3 linked regions of the Saccharomyces cerevisiae S288C genome follow. The gene in region 2 interacts genetically with the main gene of each other region. Each region holds a gene or a part of one and is shown on either strand. Other genes may lie near its edges.

What was found.
Region 1: mutations in ITC1 (region 2) and VAC7 together harm fitness more than expected from each alone (negative genetic interaction), as found in Saccharomyces cerevisiae (one large-scale study listed by BioGRID).
Region 3: mutations in ITC1 (region 2) and HSP30 together harm fitness more than expected from each alone (negative genetic interaction), as found in Saccharomyces cerevisiae (one large-scale study listed by BioGRID).

What each region holds. Positions count from the first base shown.
Region 1 is NC_001146.8:524,428-530,363, forward strand, and holds VAC7 (Vac7p), read left to right. Parts: upstream 1-1,658; coding exon 1,659-5,156; downstream 5,157-5,936. Other genes in the region: tyrosine/serine/threonine protein phosphatase MSG5, read left to right, coding at 5,515-5,936. UniProt on the Saccharomyces cerevisiae protein: The PI(3,5)P2 regulatory complex regulates both the synthesis and turnover of phosphatidylinositol 3,5-bisphosphate (PtdIns(3,5)P2). Positively regulates FAB1 kinase activity.
Region 2 is NC_001139.9:255,812-262,270, forward strand, and holds ITC1 (Itc1p), read left to right. Parts: upstream 1-1,895; coding exon 1,896-5,690; downstream 5,691-6,459. Other genes in the region: PCL10 (Pcl10p), read left to right, coding at 1-1,153; DNA-binding E3 ubiquitin-protein ligase SNT2, read right to left, coding at 5,837-6,459. UniProt on the Saccharomyces cerevisiae protein: Functions as a component of the ISW2 complex, which acts in remodeling the chromatin by catalyzing an ATP-dependent alteration in the structure of nucleosomal DNA.
Region 3 is NC_001135.5:155,329-159,104, reverse strand, and holds HSP30 (Hsp30p), read left to right. Parts: upstream 1-1,997; coding exon 1,998-2,996; downstream 2,997-3,776. Other genes in the region: YCR023C (uncharacterized protein), read left to right, coding at 1-567; YCR022C (uncharacterized protein), read left to right, coding at 1,340-1,684; HTL1 (Htl1p), read right to left, coding at 3,549-3,776. UniProt on the Saccharomyces cerevisiae protein: Probably cooperates with other heat shock proteins in the translocation of polypeptides through membranes. It may counteract the altering effect of heat shock on the plasma membrane.

The DNA.
Region 1 (5,936 bases), on a different chromosome or scaffold from region 2:
AATAACCTCAGTCACCTTGTGCAAGAACTTAACAAGAAACCAATTATTAAAGGCTTACTTACTGATAGTAGATCAACGATCAGTATAATTAAGTCTACAAATGAAGAGAAATTTAGAAACAGATTTTTTGGCACAAAGGCAATGAGACTTAGAGATGAAGTATCAGGTAATAATTTATACGTATACTACATCGAGACCAAGAAGAACATTGCTGATGTGATGACAAAACCTCTTCCGATAAAAACATTTAAACTATTAACTAACAAATGGATTCATTAGATCTATTACATTATGGGTGGTATGTTGGAATAAAAATCAACTATCATCTACTAACTAGTATTTACGTTACTAGTATATTATCATATACGGTGTTAGAAGATGACGCAAATGATGAGAAATAGTCATCTAAATTAGTGGAAGCTGAAACGCAAGGATTGATAATGTAATAGGATCAATGAATATTAACATATAAAACGATGATAATAATATTTATAGAATTGTGTAGAATTACAGATTTCCTTTTATGGATTCCTAAATCCTCGAGGAGAACTTCTAGTATATTCTGTATACCTAATATTATAGCCTTTATCAACAATGGAATCCCAACAATTATCTCAACATTCACCCATTTCTCAAAACTATCACGGAATACTAATCGAAGACTAGTGACGCACGTTACGCTATAGCAACAACGTCACAAGGATAACGTTAGTAGTTTTTTGGAAGGACAATTGCAAACTATATGTAAACGAACGAAGACACACAGTCCAAAGCTGTAACAACAACCACATATATAAATGGTAGTCTTCTAGGAAACTTCACTGTAAGATTAGATACGTAGAGGTGAAAGACAAGTTGAAGTTTGGATCGGAAGTTCCATTAATATTTGGGTAAGTAAGTTCGCCGCGCGGCAGAAACGGTGAGTACTTACTCACTTTTGTTCTAACTACAACAAAAAACTGTAAAAGTGGTGTAAGGTTTACGTTCCGTTTTGGTTGCAAATCATCAGCCCTGGTTTAAGCTTTATGTCCAACATTGGTTAGCGAAGGCACCGTACTGGTCTCGATGTCGGTGAGCAGGGGCGGCGAAATTCATTCCAATCTTGGATAATATATATGTATATATCTATACACGCGGCGAGATCTTGTCCTCTAATTTCCCTTCGCTAAATCATTAAGAGGTCATTCATGAAGTTAATTCAGCACCAAAGTTGGACTGTTAGACACGAGATACACATTGCAGTCCAAATGTGCAGATTTTTCAGATAATTGTCGTCGCACAAGACTGCCCCTCCCGTCCTCAGACAGACACAAAATTAGATTTTACGTTTACATAAAGATGTACATAACTTGAAAAAACGTTAATCCCTCTTAAATTTAGACCTTGTAAGTCTTCCTGGCCACTCTTTGTGATATATTGTAGTGCAATATATTGATTCGTTCTTCTTATTTCTTTGTTCTTAGGCATTTCCGCTTTAGAAAATTCGTTGGGTGGTTTCTGCGACGGGTATCCCCTTCGATTTTGCATAATGATCTTCAATTCTACAACTAAAATCAAGTAGATACAGGAAAATATTCCATAAATTATAGTGTAAATCGCCCTGTATACACCTTATCGTTTCATCTCAGGCAAGTTAAAGCATTTGGGAAACGTGCTAGATGACAGAAGAAGATAGAAAGCTCACTGTAGAGACAGAAACAGTTGAGGCACCCGTGGCAAATAATCTTTTATTGTCGAATAACAGTAATGTAGTAGCACCTAATCCTTCTATTCCCTCTGCCTCCACATCTACCTCTCCGCTACACAGGGAAATAGTTGATGATTCTGTCGCTACTGCTAACACCACCAGCAACGTTGTACAGCATAATTTGCCCACCATAGATAACAATTTAATGGATTCCGATGCCACGTCACATAATCAAGATCATTGGCATTCAGACATAAACAGGGCAGGAACATCAATGTCAACGAGTGATATCCCAACAGATTTACATTTAGAACATATCGGCTCTGTTTCATCAACTAATAATAATAGTAACAATGCCCTAATCAACCACAACCCTCTGTCATCTCATCTTTCCAATCCGTCATCTTCATTACGAAACAAGAAGAGCTCTTTGTTGGTAGCTTCTAACCCTGCGTTTGCTTCAGATGTTGAACTCTCGAAGAAGAAACCTGCCGTCATCTCCAATAATATGCCTACAAGTAACATTGCCCTTTATCAAACAGCGAGATCGGCGAATATTCATGGTCCATCATCAACTTCCGCATCTAAAGCGTTCAGAAAGGCTTCGGCCTTCTCCAATAACACGGCACCCAGCACTAGTAATAACATCGGCTCGAATACACCTCCAGCTCCTCTTTTACCTCTACCTTCACTATCACAACAAAATAAGCCAAAAATAATAGAGAGGCCCACAATGCACGTCACTAATTCAAGAGAAATACTTTTAGGTGAAAACCTGTTAGATGATACAAAGGCGAAGAATGCTCCCGCGAATTCAACCACACACGATAATGGTCCAGTAGCAAATGATGGGCTGCGTATACCGAATCACTCGAACGCAGATGATAATGAAAATAACAACAAAATGAAGAAGAATAAAAACATTAATAGTGGGAAAAATGAACGTAATGATGACACCAGCAAAATATGCACTACATCTACTAAAACAGCGCCTTCAACCGCACCTTTGGGCAGTACAGACAATACTCAGGCTCTCACTGCTAGTGTCTCCAGCAGTAATGCTGACAATCACAATAATAACAAGAAGAAAACCAGCAGCAACAACAACGGCAATAACAGTAATAGTGCATCCAATAAAACCAATGCCGATATCAAGAATTCTAACGCCGACTTGAGCGCTTCTACCTCTAACAATAATGCAATAAATGACGACTCACATGAGAGTAATTCAGAAAAACCAACAAAGGCGGATTTTTTCGCTGCAAGGCTGGCTACAGCTGTAGGTGAAAATGAAATTAGTGATTCTGAGGAAACATTTGTTTATGAATCGGCAGCTAATTCGACTAAAAACCTAATATTTCCTGACTCCTCCAGCCAGCAGCAGCAGCAGCAACAGCAACCTCCAAAACAACAGCAACAGCAACAAAATCATGGAATAACCTCAAAGATAAGCGCCCCATTGCTAAACAATAACAAAAAATTATTAAGCCGACTGAAAAATTCAAGACATATTAGCACTGGTGCCATATTGAATAACACAATCGCGACTATAAGCACAAATCCGAACTTGAATTCTAATGTGATGCAGAACAATAACAATCTGATGTCGGGACACAATCACCTGGACGAGTTGAGCAGTATAAAACAGGAGCCACCGCATCAATTGCAGCAGCAGCAACCACCAATGGATGTACAATCGGTAGATTCGTATACCTCTGACAACCCAGACAGCAATGTTATTGCCAAGTCGCCTGATAAGAGGTCAAGCTTAGTATCCCTATCTAAAGTTTCTCCACATTTACTTTCATCCACATCAAGCAACGGTAACACAATATCGTGTCCCAATGTTGCCACAAATTCGCAGGAATTGGAACCAAACAATGATATTTCAACGAAGAAATCTCTTTCCAATTCTACTTTGAGACATTCCTCTGCTAATAGAAATTCTAATTATGGTGACAACAAAAGGCCTCTTAGAACAACAGTGTCAAAGATATTTGATTCAAACCCTAATGGAGCTCCTTTACGGAGATACTCTGGGGTACCGGATCACGTTAATCTAGAAGATTACATCGAACAGCCGCATAATTATCCAACAATGCAAAATAGTGTGAAAAAGGATGAATTTTATAACAGCAGGAACAATAAGTTTCCCCATGGTTTAAACTTTTATGGTGATAACAATGTTATTGAAGAGGAAAATAATGGTGACTCGTCTAATGTAAATCGACCGCAACACACTAACCTTCAGCATGAGTTTATTCCAGAAGATAACGAAAGTGATGAAAACGATATTCACTCCATGTTTTATTATAATCATAAGAACGATTTAGAAACAAAACCGCTAATATCCGATTATGGTGAAGATGAAGACGTAGATGATTATGATCGCCCAAATGCTACTTTCAACAGTTACTATGGCTCAGCATCCAACACGCACGAACTTCCATTACATGGAAGGATGCCTTCAAGATCAAATAATGATTACTACGATTTTATGGTTGGCAACAATACTGGCAATAACAACCAATTGAATGAATATACCCCCTTAAGAATGAAACGTGGTCAAAGACACCTATCAAGAACAAACAATAGCATAATGAATGGTAGCATCCATATGAATGGTAACGATGACGTTACCCATTCCAATATCAATAATAACGATATTGTTGGTTACTCACCGCACAACTTTTACTCAAGGAAGTCCCCATTTGTGAAAGTAAAGAATTTTCTTTATCTTGCATTTGTTATATCATCACTATTGATGACAGGATTCATTCTGGGATTTTTATTGGCCACTAATAAAGAACTACAAGATGTAGACGTGGTAGTGATGGATAATGTGATTTCAAGTTCGGACGAGTTGATCTTCGACATCACAGTAAGTGCTTTTAATCCAGGATTCTTCAGTATAAGCGTTTCCCAAGTCGATTTGGACATTTTTGCAAAAAGTTCTTACCTGAAGTGCGATTCTAATGGTGACTGTACAGTAATGGAACAGGAACGGAAAATTTTACAAATAACGACAAATCTTTCGTTAGTTGAAGAGAGTGCTAATAATGATATTAGTGGTGGGAACATAGAGACGGTATTACTAGGAACCGCTAAAAAACTAGAGACACCATTAAAGTTCCAGGGCGGCGCATTTAATAGGAACTACGATGTGTCAGTCTCGAGTGTCAAGCTTTTAAGTCCTGGGTCTCGTGAAGCCAAGCACGAAAACGACGATGATGACGATGATGATGGCGACGATGGTGACGATGAAAACAATACTAATGAAAGACAATACAAAAGCAAACCAAATGCTAGAGATGACAAAGAAGATGATACTAAAAAATGGAAGCTACTAATCAAGCATGATTACGAATTGATAGTCCGTGGAAGCATGAAGTATGAGGTGCCCTTTTTCAATACGCAAAAATCTACGGCTATTCAAAAGGATTCCATGGTCCATCCTGGTAAGAAGTGAGTGTTAAGAATGTAGCTTTTTCGTCAAAGCTGGGTATTTTTCTTTTTATAGCGCAGGAGCGGAAGGCAATTTCCAAAACAGGAATGTACTTTCCAAAAAAGGAAAATGTAGTTTGTTTTTTGATGTTTTTTTCTCTTTGACTATTTCAAATTTAGAAGTGAAAAAATACAAAAATGTTACATAGGATTCGATACAGTGTAATATATCATTATTATTACTTTTAAATAAAGCGTTTAGTAAACAAGAGTGAGGGTTATGCAACTCGTTTAGTAAACATTCTTTTTTTTTTCTTCATTTAAGTATAAGACAACAATAGTAGCGGAAGCGATAGTAATACATTTGGTAGCGATAAGTGCACATGCAATTTCACTCAGATAAGCAGCATTTGGACAGTAAAACCGACATCGATTTCAAGCCAAACTCACCGCGTTCCTTACAAAATAGGAATACCAAAAATTTATCTTTAGATATAGCAGCACTCCATCCATTAATGGAATTCTCATCGCCAAGCCAAGATGTGCCAGGTTCAGTAAAATTCCCATCGCCGACACCTTTGAATCTATTTATGAAGCCCAAACCTATTGTGTTGGAGAAATGTCCACCAAAAGTAAGTCCAAGGCCAACGCCACCATCGCTGTCGATGAGGCGAAGCGAGGCCTCTATATACACACTACCAACATCTTTGAAGAACCGAACTGTTTCTCCAAGCGTGTATACAAAATCATCCACAGTATCGTCTATCAGTAAGCTGTCATCATCATCACCGTTATCGTCATTTTC
Region 2 (6,459 bases):
TTTAACAAGTGAATGGGACCAGTCTAGATCAAATACGCCTGGTCTTGCAGAAGGCAAGACTGAGAAAGCACAGCCATGCGGTACAACAGATAGTTCAAAAAATAGAATACATGTAGAGCAACTGTTGGAATCCGCTAATGAAATGAATAATTATTTGGCGCAGAATATAGAGAACATAAACAATTTTCAGGTGGGGCTATTGAATGGAGGGAAAGGATTATATAGTTCCATGGGTGATGATTCGAGCGCGTGTATTAATGGCACTAATTTTAGCTCAACGTCCAATTTTGAACTAAGTGATGATGAGCTAGAGGATACCACGGGTTGCACAAGTTCTATTTTTGATAAAGATCTTTTCCATCAACAAAACGGGCTAAGCATACCTCGCCGTAGATCACCACTCTTCAAATCTCCAACTGCCAGTTTCGAAATTGGCGATGCTACGGATGTGGAGGAGCAAGATATTGATGACTCCATTTTTTCTGAATGTAGCAGCATTACAAGCTTTGATATGGGAGGGTTGCATATCAGTCTACCACACGATGAAGAAGAAGATCAAGAAAAAACTAAGTCCGAAAGTGAAAACCCGTTGCTACATGGCATACCGGTTGATGTAGAAGTGCCCCACATATCGGTTGATGAAGCTCTGGCGAATTTCAAGGAAACCATAGAACTACTACTAAAACTTAGTGGCAATAGAAAGTGTACCGGTTTCAATACTAGAGTGGAGAAAAAAGAATACTCGAATTTCTACATGAAAAGTAAACCCACCTTATCATCAGCAGATTTTCTCAAGAGAATCCAAGACAAATGTGAGTACCAGCCAACTGTTTACCTTGTGGCAACATTTTTAATTGACACGTTGTTTTTAACAAGGGATGGCAATAACATTTTGCAGTTGAAGTTAAACTTACAGGAAAAGGAGGTCCATCGAATGATAATAGCAGCGGTTAGATTGAGCACGAAATTATTGGAAGATTTCGTTCACTCACATGAATATTTTAGTAAAGTATGCGGTATTTCGAAACGGCTTTTGACTAAATTAGAAGTCAGTCTATTGATCTGTGTGTGCAATACTAAATTAATGGTCAGTAACAGGAAATTAGCCGCCTCCAAATTACTTTTGAATGAACTACGGTCCTTCTGTGTATAGTTGATACAAGTATTTTAGATAATTATTTTAACGAACGTAACGAATGCTTTCCAGTCAATAGCGGCACTGGTAATATGATACAAACAATTTCTCAATAAAACAACGACAAACTTAGTCTGTTTATATTTCCGTGCAATGGTGGAAACCTGTACTCGATATTGGAGAAAACTTCAGAGCTTCCCAACAGTTATCCCGGATTCTTAATTGATGCTCTCGAAACGCACATAAAAATGTGATTTTTTTACTCGCATTAAATTACTGTTGAATCTATGGTTCAAACAAATGTATATTTGCCTACACATCTTTCTCTGTCCCTTCTGTATTGTCTAACCTTAAAATAGAAATATTTCATGGTTTTATTTCTTTTAAGTTTATTATCCATTTTTAACGTGGTGAGAAAACCCGAAATGAAAAATAATAAAGGAAAATTATAGAGGAAAAAAAGTGTAGAAATAGAAAAAAAATAAAAAGGATAATACCGATCAGAAAAATCCTCTTTCTTGCTCTTCTTCTTTTCTTTGTATTTCTCCTGAAAAAATTCAGAAAAACATATATTGGGTTAAATACATAACTATTTAAAAGGCTGTAAACAATTCAACTGACATTAGATACATCACACTCAATTACTGTTGGAAATAGGCAGATATATCCAGATTTTTACAATTACTATAGCACTTCCATTGAAGATATATAAAAAAAGAAAATAACAATAGGAGGAAGTAAAGAAAGCCGTTAATAAACAATGGTGTTATATAAAAGGAAACCTATATTACTTCCTGATCCAAAACCTTTACCATTGGATTTGAATGTACAAGTATGGCATATTGAAGAGACTGGAGAATGGTTTTCTAGTTACGAAGAATTTTTAGAAAGGTTTGATTTCTACACACGCCACCATTTTACATGCGAAATCACTGGTACTTCTTGCCTGACTTTTTTCCAAGCTCTGGATAGTGAGGAGACACAATTCAAATACGTCGAAGACAGATTCCCATTAAAGTTGAGAGAACCAGTTGCAAGATTTTTACATTTTAACGGAATAAGAAGGTTAGATGCATTGGTGGAGAAAGTTTACGCAAGATTTAAAAATGACTTTTTCCCAGGAGAAGTTGTTTATCTACGTAAACAGAAAGACTCTTCTACCACAAGCTCTAATTCCCAACAAAGTACTCCTCAACCTGATGATATGGTCGAAATCAACAGTGTTGGTAATCCTGGCTTACCGCAGTACCAATACCAAAGACGTTATGTTATCAAAGAAAAGGTCCAATTTAACGCAACGATAAATCCAGAGAGCAGGGAAATTGTGATGCCCGCTCATACTAAATACATGCTGATAGAAGAAGCAGCTTCCAGTAATAAATCCTTCATTGTTGATCAAGGACAAATTTACAGGGACCGTTCCACTTTCACTAAGCACTTAATCAAATGTTTTTTCAAGATTACTTTACAGAGGGCATCTTCGAAAATGGGTGCACCTTGGTGTGTCAAACCGGAATATTTAGCGATGTATGGTTTAACGATGGAATGGCCAAAAGATATGTTAAAATATAAAGAAGATGAACCTGTCGTAGCAAGACGTTCCAACAGTGCCAATGTTTCATCCCCAGAAAGTGAAAAGAATAAACGTCAAAGTAAATCATCGGGTAAAAGTAACACCTCAAACGATGCTTCTAACAAAAAAGAAACCAAGAAAAAAAGAAAGCCAACCGAAGTAAATGATTCTGAGAATAATTCTTCGGAAGAAGACAAGAAGAAGGGTCAAAATGTCACATCAGAAACACATTCTAAAAAAAGGAAAAAGGAAGCCAATGAGGAACCGAACACGGAAAACGTCGAAAGCGTTCCTACACCAGCTAATGCGGAGCCTCAGGCTGTAACAATAACGAGCATAATGGATGACCTAGCTTTGCCATATCAACATCCACCGAACATCTTTCCAAACTTAACGTATTATAATGAAAAATTAGAATGTATTTCATTAGGTTCTACAAAACTTTCCAGACCTTTTGATTCTTTTGGAAAGCTATTACAAGCCTATCAGTTTCTGAATACGTTTGGTTCGAAAATTTGTCTCTCTCATTTTAGCCTTGACCAATTCATTACTTCTTTGAAATGTACAGACCCATATGAGTTAAAGGGCGAAGTTGTTTTAGTGAACATAAGAACGCAAACGTCTAAAGAACAAGAAATTGAAAATAACGGCCTGCCGATGAAAAACAAAGCAGAGACTACTACTGAGGAAGACTCTGAAAACCCAAGTGACTGGCAAAGAAATTCATTTATTCGTGATATGATAATGAAAAGAAATTCCGACAAGGTTGAGTACAAGATTGTTCACGATGACCCAGCATCCGATGATATACTTGATAATATCAATCATAATGGGTCTGCTCTTCTCATTGAAGTTTTTACTGCGCTCTTACGTTTGTTCATCAACGAAGAAGGCGATTGGAGTTGCATCGTCGTTGAAAACTGGATAATAGACGACAAGGGAGTCCTTATGGAGAGAAAAGATGAAAGAGGGGAGGGGGAGGCGAAGCAAAAACGAAATGCTCACGGATACTTTTTACAAGATAAGGAAAAGATCGACAACCTAAAGGACACATTAAAGGAAAACGCAACAGAAGTTCAAAAAGAATCAGACGCTAAAAACGAAACAAATTCAGAATCTGATTCTAAATCTGATTCTGACAGTGAAGAACGAGATCCTAAATTAGAAAAGTGTTTGAACTACCGCAATGTTAACTGGATAGAACGCTTGACGAAAAGGCAATTTAATAACAGTTACTGGCTAATAATTTTACTGGGAGTCTTAGAAGATTGTAGACATCTTCCCATGTATACAGAGTTTATTGATTCTTTCATAGAAAAGATCATACCCAAAGATATATCAGCTACTCAATTGCCCAAACAGCTTTGGAGAAATTTCTGTCGAAAGCTGTCGTTCAGTGACAAAGTCAATGCGCTGTGGATACTTGTAGATCTCGTATCGCATTTTTCTCCAGATATCAAAGCTGCTGTAGATGATTCCATGGAACTATGTGGTCAAATTCGTAGCGAAAGATTCAAAGTTGCGAGAGAGTTGAAAACGGAGGCAGCCGTCTTAAGTAATCTTCAAGGCGACCTGCAGGCAATTCAAGAGAAGTTAAATAAAACAGATGAAAACACACCATCAGCCGATGGTGCCGATAAAAAAGATGATTCCGAATCAAATAGTGAACCAATTGATCTTATTATCATTGAGAAAAAGCAAAAGTTAATTGAAGAGCAGGATAAAAAGGTACAAGCTTTACAATCAGATAAAAATTTCCTCGATAATTGTCTATTTGAAAACGATCTACAAAGATTAAAGCCGTTGGGATTGGATCGATACGGGAACAGGTATTTTTGGCTGGATCACAATGGTGTTCCATTTCCTCAATATCCTGCTGGTATGAATGAGACGCCGAAAAGTAACAATAGTTTGAGTTATCACTCCGGTCGTTTATTAATTCAGGGACCTAAAGCATCATCGGCGAAATTCTTTTTGAACGTCAGTGATGAGCAATTGAGCAATTGGCAAAAAATCAGAAATTCCGAAGGAATATCCGAGGCAACTAGGGAAGTATTTGGTATCTCCAAAACTAGTTCCGGATCTTATAATTACGTAGAAAATGGAATAGAGGTCGAACTATTGGACAGTAATGATCGCGTAAACCCACTTATAGAGCTGACACCTATTCAAAAGAAAATTATGGATGAAACACCTTCAAGGTTGCTACTATCACCAGATCAATGGTATTGCATTGACAAGTTAGAGGACTTGTCAAGAATAATGGACTGGTTAGATAATTGGGGTCGCAAAGAGCATGATCTCTTGAGGCAAATCAGACCCATAATGGAACGAATTAAAAGTTCCCTTAGCTTGCGCGACCATGCGCTGTCACTGACAGCATTCACCAAAAATGAAGAAAAGTTGCTAAAGGAGTTAGAAAATAATGAATTTACCGAAAACGAATTGAACGTTGATAGTATGGATGTTGATGATAAAAATAGCGGTGTTAAAAGTGAGGTTGATGTACAGGTTGATGCCGAAGAGAAGAGAGAAGCTGTGATAGACGAAAAGTTGGAGGTGATTGCAGACGAACTCATGAAGCTAGATGATAGCTCGAAAACACGCAATGTTCTTAATAGAATACAAGAATTAGAAGATCAGAGAGATGAACTCTTGGAACAGAAAAAATCCATAATAAATTCGCAGAGGCCAGGCGCGAGGATTTTAGCCCGTTCAGAAAGGAAAAGAACCAAAATCTCCCGTGGTAATAAGGTGAATAAGCAGATTGAAATATTGACTGACTTAGTCAATTATAGACATTTTAAAGCTATGGAAGATGTGATAGCTTGGAAAAACGTTTTAGCAAATTCGATATGGGGTTCCTCACTTCGCAAAAATGCATCTGGTAATAAAAGGAGTGGTGTCATTGAAACAGTAGACGATAAATTAAAAGATATAGTGGGCCAAACCTCAAGAACAGTAACACCTGCCCCAAATTAATATATAAAAAACTTCCTTTGTAACTGATGGTAAATTGTAGTATTCATAAATAGGATAAGATTATTCATTGTAAGCATAATGGAAAAAAATAACACAACAAAGCCGCGCAAGATTGGACCATACTTTCTATCTAAGGTAACTATCACTTACTGGCTTGATGGATGCGTATTTTTGTCGGTACCAGCTTCTGAAATATCGATATCAAACATAGCTGGCTCAATTCCTTCCATCAATTGCTGGGTAATTTCGACTGGTAAACCGTTATCGTTAGAGATATTAGCAGATGCGCTATCAAAATCGAGTTCTTGGGCACCTGATCTCAAATTGCAAGAATGGCAAATAATATCTTCATACCAGTATAAACTTTTGTTTGTACCACAATGTGGGCAAGTCCTTTCGAAAGGAAGTACGTAAATTTTGGGTTTAATAGCAGAGTCGTGTGAGTTTCCTGGCATTTCGCCGTGTCGCAGTCTAAGCTGTTCAAAATATCTCAACTCCACTAGACTATGGTCAGATTCGCACTTATAATATCTGCAGTATTGTTCTATGTATGACAGAGTATGTTGAGGCTTGTACGATAATGGATAAAGTTCGTTTCCTTCTAAGCTGATATCGTGTCTATCGCATATTAGTATAGGTCTCAAAGTGTATGTATCGTTAAGCTTGACATCCTTTATGCACGGTAGAGTGGTGTCTACAGACATATTTTTCTTTTCAAACATAAGCTTAAAATTGGAGCTGTTCTGTGCACATGTAATATGATACCTAT
Region 3 (3,776 bases), on a different chromosome or scaffold from region 2:
TGTTTTGTGGTTATTTTCATTTTTCCCATAGTTGATCGAAATTTCGATTGTTTAACAATTTTCAGAACTTTAGTCAAGCTGTACCCTATTATGTACGTTATGGTTCCTTACGTTGTTTTTCTACAGAATGAACGGATTCCTAGCTGGTATACTGTCGTCTACTTGTACATAATCACAGGGATAAAAACATTTTGTGGCGCTTTAACGTCACCACAAATTATGTTATTAATTCATAATTCGAGTCCCTTGAGTTGTAGATCAGTCATCAATGGCGCCACCATTAGTATTTCTGCCTCTGCTCGTTTCATAGGTCCCTTAGTATGGGGCTATATTATGTCTTGGTCCCAGCAAAATGACGTCGCCTGGGTCAGTTGGTGGTCGTTAAGTCTTTTTTGTATGGTAGCTCTTTATCAAAGTTATAAGATAGCACCAATTGATGATAACGAAAATGAGCTTCATGGACAGGGTAGTGAAGATGCCTACAATTCGCAGTCACAGTCTTCTGATTTAAGAATGGCTCATCGATCTAGTTTAAGCAGCTTAAGTAACCAACGCTGTACCACATGAGAAATTTTTTTTCAGAAGGCTTGCAAAAAGGATATCTAATAAAAAAAAAAATGAACTCCAGTAGATTTTAGATATCAACCATAACTGGCGAAAATTTGCACCTTTTTGATGAGAGCATGTTATGTCAAGGCATGGCCGCGTGATGGCATTGCACTCAAGATAGTTTCCGGAATTATTATACTCCTTATGTAAATTTCAATCCGTTTATGTAATTATATCCAGGAACTCAATTTGACCAGACAAGTAATGGCGCCCATTTTGAGCGAGAGAACCCATTTTTCTATACAAATTTCACTAGAGCACGGCCGTTACATTTAGTAATAGCCAATAAGGGTTTTTTATCGATTAGTGTTCCCTGCGCTCCTTAACATCATACAACCGAGTACTTGACATGGAGATAGTAGGCAAGTAAACCAAAGTCCTTTCTTCAAAAGTAGAAAACTTGAGCACTTATTTCCTGCGCATGTCATATGTTAATTTTCCTCAACTGCGCTGAATACGTCCTGTCAATTCAAATATATCACGTTGTGAGCAGCCCTGAAGAAGAAAACCTCAACAGCAGTATTACTATTACAATCAAACAACTTTAGTGCCGCGTGATACCGGGGGTTGAAGTGGGTGCATTGAGCCGTATTCTTCTTCCCCGTAAGAAAGTTGTGTATCCTTTTTACTGCGTTGTAATAGCTTCTGAAAACCTAAAAAATGAACGCTATGTAGCTCATATCCGTTTTGCATAAGTAAGAATAACTACTTGTGCAGGGTGCCGAAAGGGATGGAAAACCGCTGCAGCAACCCTTGTTACATACAGTCGGATCCATCTGACTTACTTTCCTTGCGTCTCCCTGCGCGATTTTGTTGGCCATTTTCCAGATCCTCTAGAATTTTTCAAGGGTCGAGCCGTAGGAGGATTCTCTCAGAAGGCAAAAACGCATCGAAAGCGTGCTTTGTAAGAATATTTGGTATGGCTAAAGTAAGCAAAGCCATATCCCGATCCCGATCCCGACTCTTATTCCGATCCCTTCCGCCACATCCTGCATGTTTATTCGAATACCAAATTAGCTCATCTTCGTTATTTCATCATCCCTTTCTGCTATGGCAAGGACAAGTTTTTTTCTAGCATCTCATCGAAAACTTTCCTCTCCCTAATTGGCCAAAGTTTTCATATTCATCATCAGTTAGAAAGTATAATATCAATCCCTTACCTCATTACAAGTTGTATCACACTAAAAAAATCATATATAAGTCTGTGAGAGTCTTCAATTATTTAGCGTAACACCTATTCACTTTCTAATCTTGTTTCTTGTTTTTACATTCTGCAATACAACACAACAACAAATATTAACTCAATTATTATTATTTATAATTACAAAAACAAAACAACAAGTTTGAGACTTTAATATCTTTTGATTACTAAAAACAACAAATTTCAAATGAACGATACGCTATCAAGCTTTTTAAATCGTAACGAGGCTTTAGGGCTTAATCCACCACATGGCCTGGATATGCACATTACCAAGAGAGGTTCGGATTGGTTATGGGCAGTGTTTGCAGTCTTTGGCTTTATATTGCTATGCTATGTTGTGATGTTCTTCATTGCGGAGAACAAGGGCTCCAGATTGACTAGATATGCCTTAGCTCCTGCATTTTTGATCACTTTCTTTGAATTTTTTGCTTTCTTCACTTATGCTTCTGATTTAGGTTGGACTGGTGTTCAAGCTGAATTTAACCACGTCAAGGTTAGCAAGTCTATCACAGGTGAAGTTCCCGGTATTAGACAAATCTTTTACTCGAAATATATTGCCTGGTTCTTGTCCTGGCCATGCCTTTTATTTTTAATCGAGTTAGCCGCTAGTACTACTGGTGAGAATGACGACATTTCCGCCTTGGATATGGTACATTCGCTGTTAATTCAAATCGTGGGTACCTTATTCTGGGTTGTTTCGCTATTAGTTGGTTCATTGATCAAGTCCACCTACAAGTGGGGTTATTACACCATTGGTGCTGTCGCTATGTTGGTTACCCAAGGTGTGATATGCCAACGTCAATTCTTCAATTTGAAAACTAGAGGGTTCAATGCACTTATGCTGTGTACCTGCATGGTAATCGTTTGGTTGTACTTTATCTGTTGGGGTCTAAGTGATGGTGGTAACCGTATTCAACCAGACGGTGAGGCTATCTTTTATGGTGTTTTGGATTTATGTGTATTTGCCATTTATCCATGTTACTTGCTAATTGCAGTCAGCCGTGATGGCAAATTGCCAAGGCTATCTTTGACAGGAGGATTCTCTCATCACCATGCTACGGACGATGTGGAAGATGCGGCTCCTGAAACAAAAGAAGCTGTTCCAGAGAGCCCAAGAGCATCTGGAGAGACTGCAATCCACGAACCCGAACCTGAAGCAGAGCAAGCTGTCGAAGATACTGCTTAGAGCAGCTTGAGATTGTCTTAATCATTCTTTGCTTAACACATTTCAAAACATCAGTTTTCTTCTTTTAATGTCACTAATGAAACTTAATATTTAATAATCTAATTTTAATTTCTTTATGAAATATGCAAAATAAATTATATACACAAACACAATAATTAATAATCTAATCTCATTTTTCCAAAATCAAGAAATGTTCTTACTGCTTCCATGCCTGAATAGTCTAATCGATAGTAGGCCATTTCAATTCTTTTTAGTTATATGGAGACGCAAACACCACTTTATTTTAGCGTACCCTACCAAAATTAAACGATAATATGGTATTTTTATTCTCATTTGTTACACTCTATTCTGTATCACTGGATACATTCGCGGTAACTTGTTTTATAAAGTGAGATGGGATTTATGACCATTAGATGCATATAAAAGCTTCCAAATAATAATAAGATATTGTGACTTTTGGTGAACTAGATACGCTTTGAAATTCTTCATTTGTAATGAAGCAGGATTCACATTCAATATTTTGTAGCTTACAATTGTGAATGTTGCGTTTTCCTACTTTTTCCTTTCATTTTTCAAAGCATCGAGCATTTTTTTCATTTCTTCCAAACTCATCCTTTGCCTTTCAGGATTGATAATACTATTGTGTCTTTCCGTACTTTCTACCAAGTTCAATAACTCGCATATGTTTTCTCTTTGAGATAATAACTGAAATGCTGTTAAATTTTTCAGCGTTACATTGTTGTAAGCTCTTTCAGGATTCATTGAGCTGATTGTGTTGTT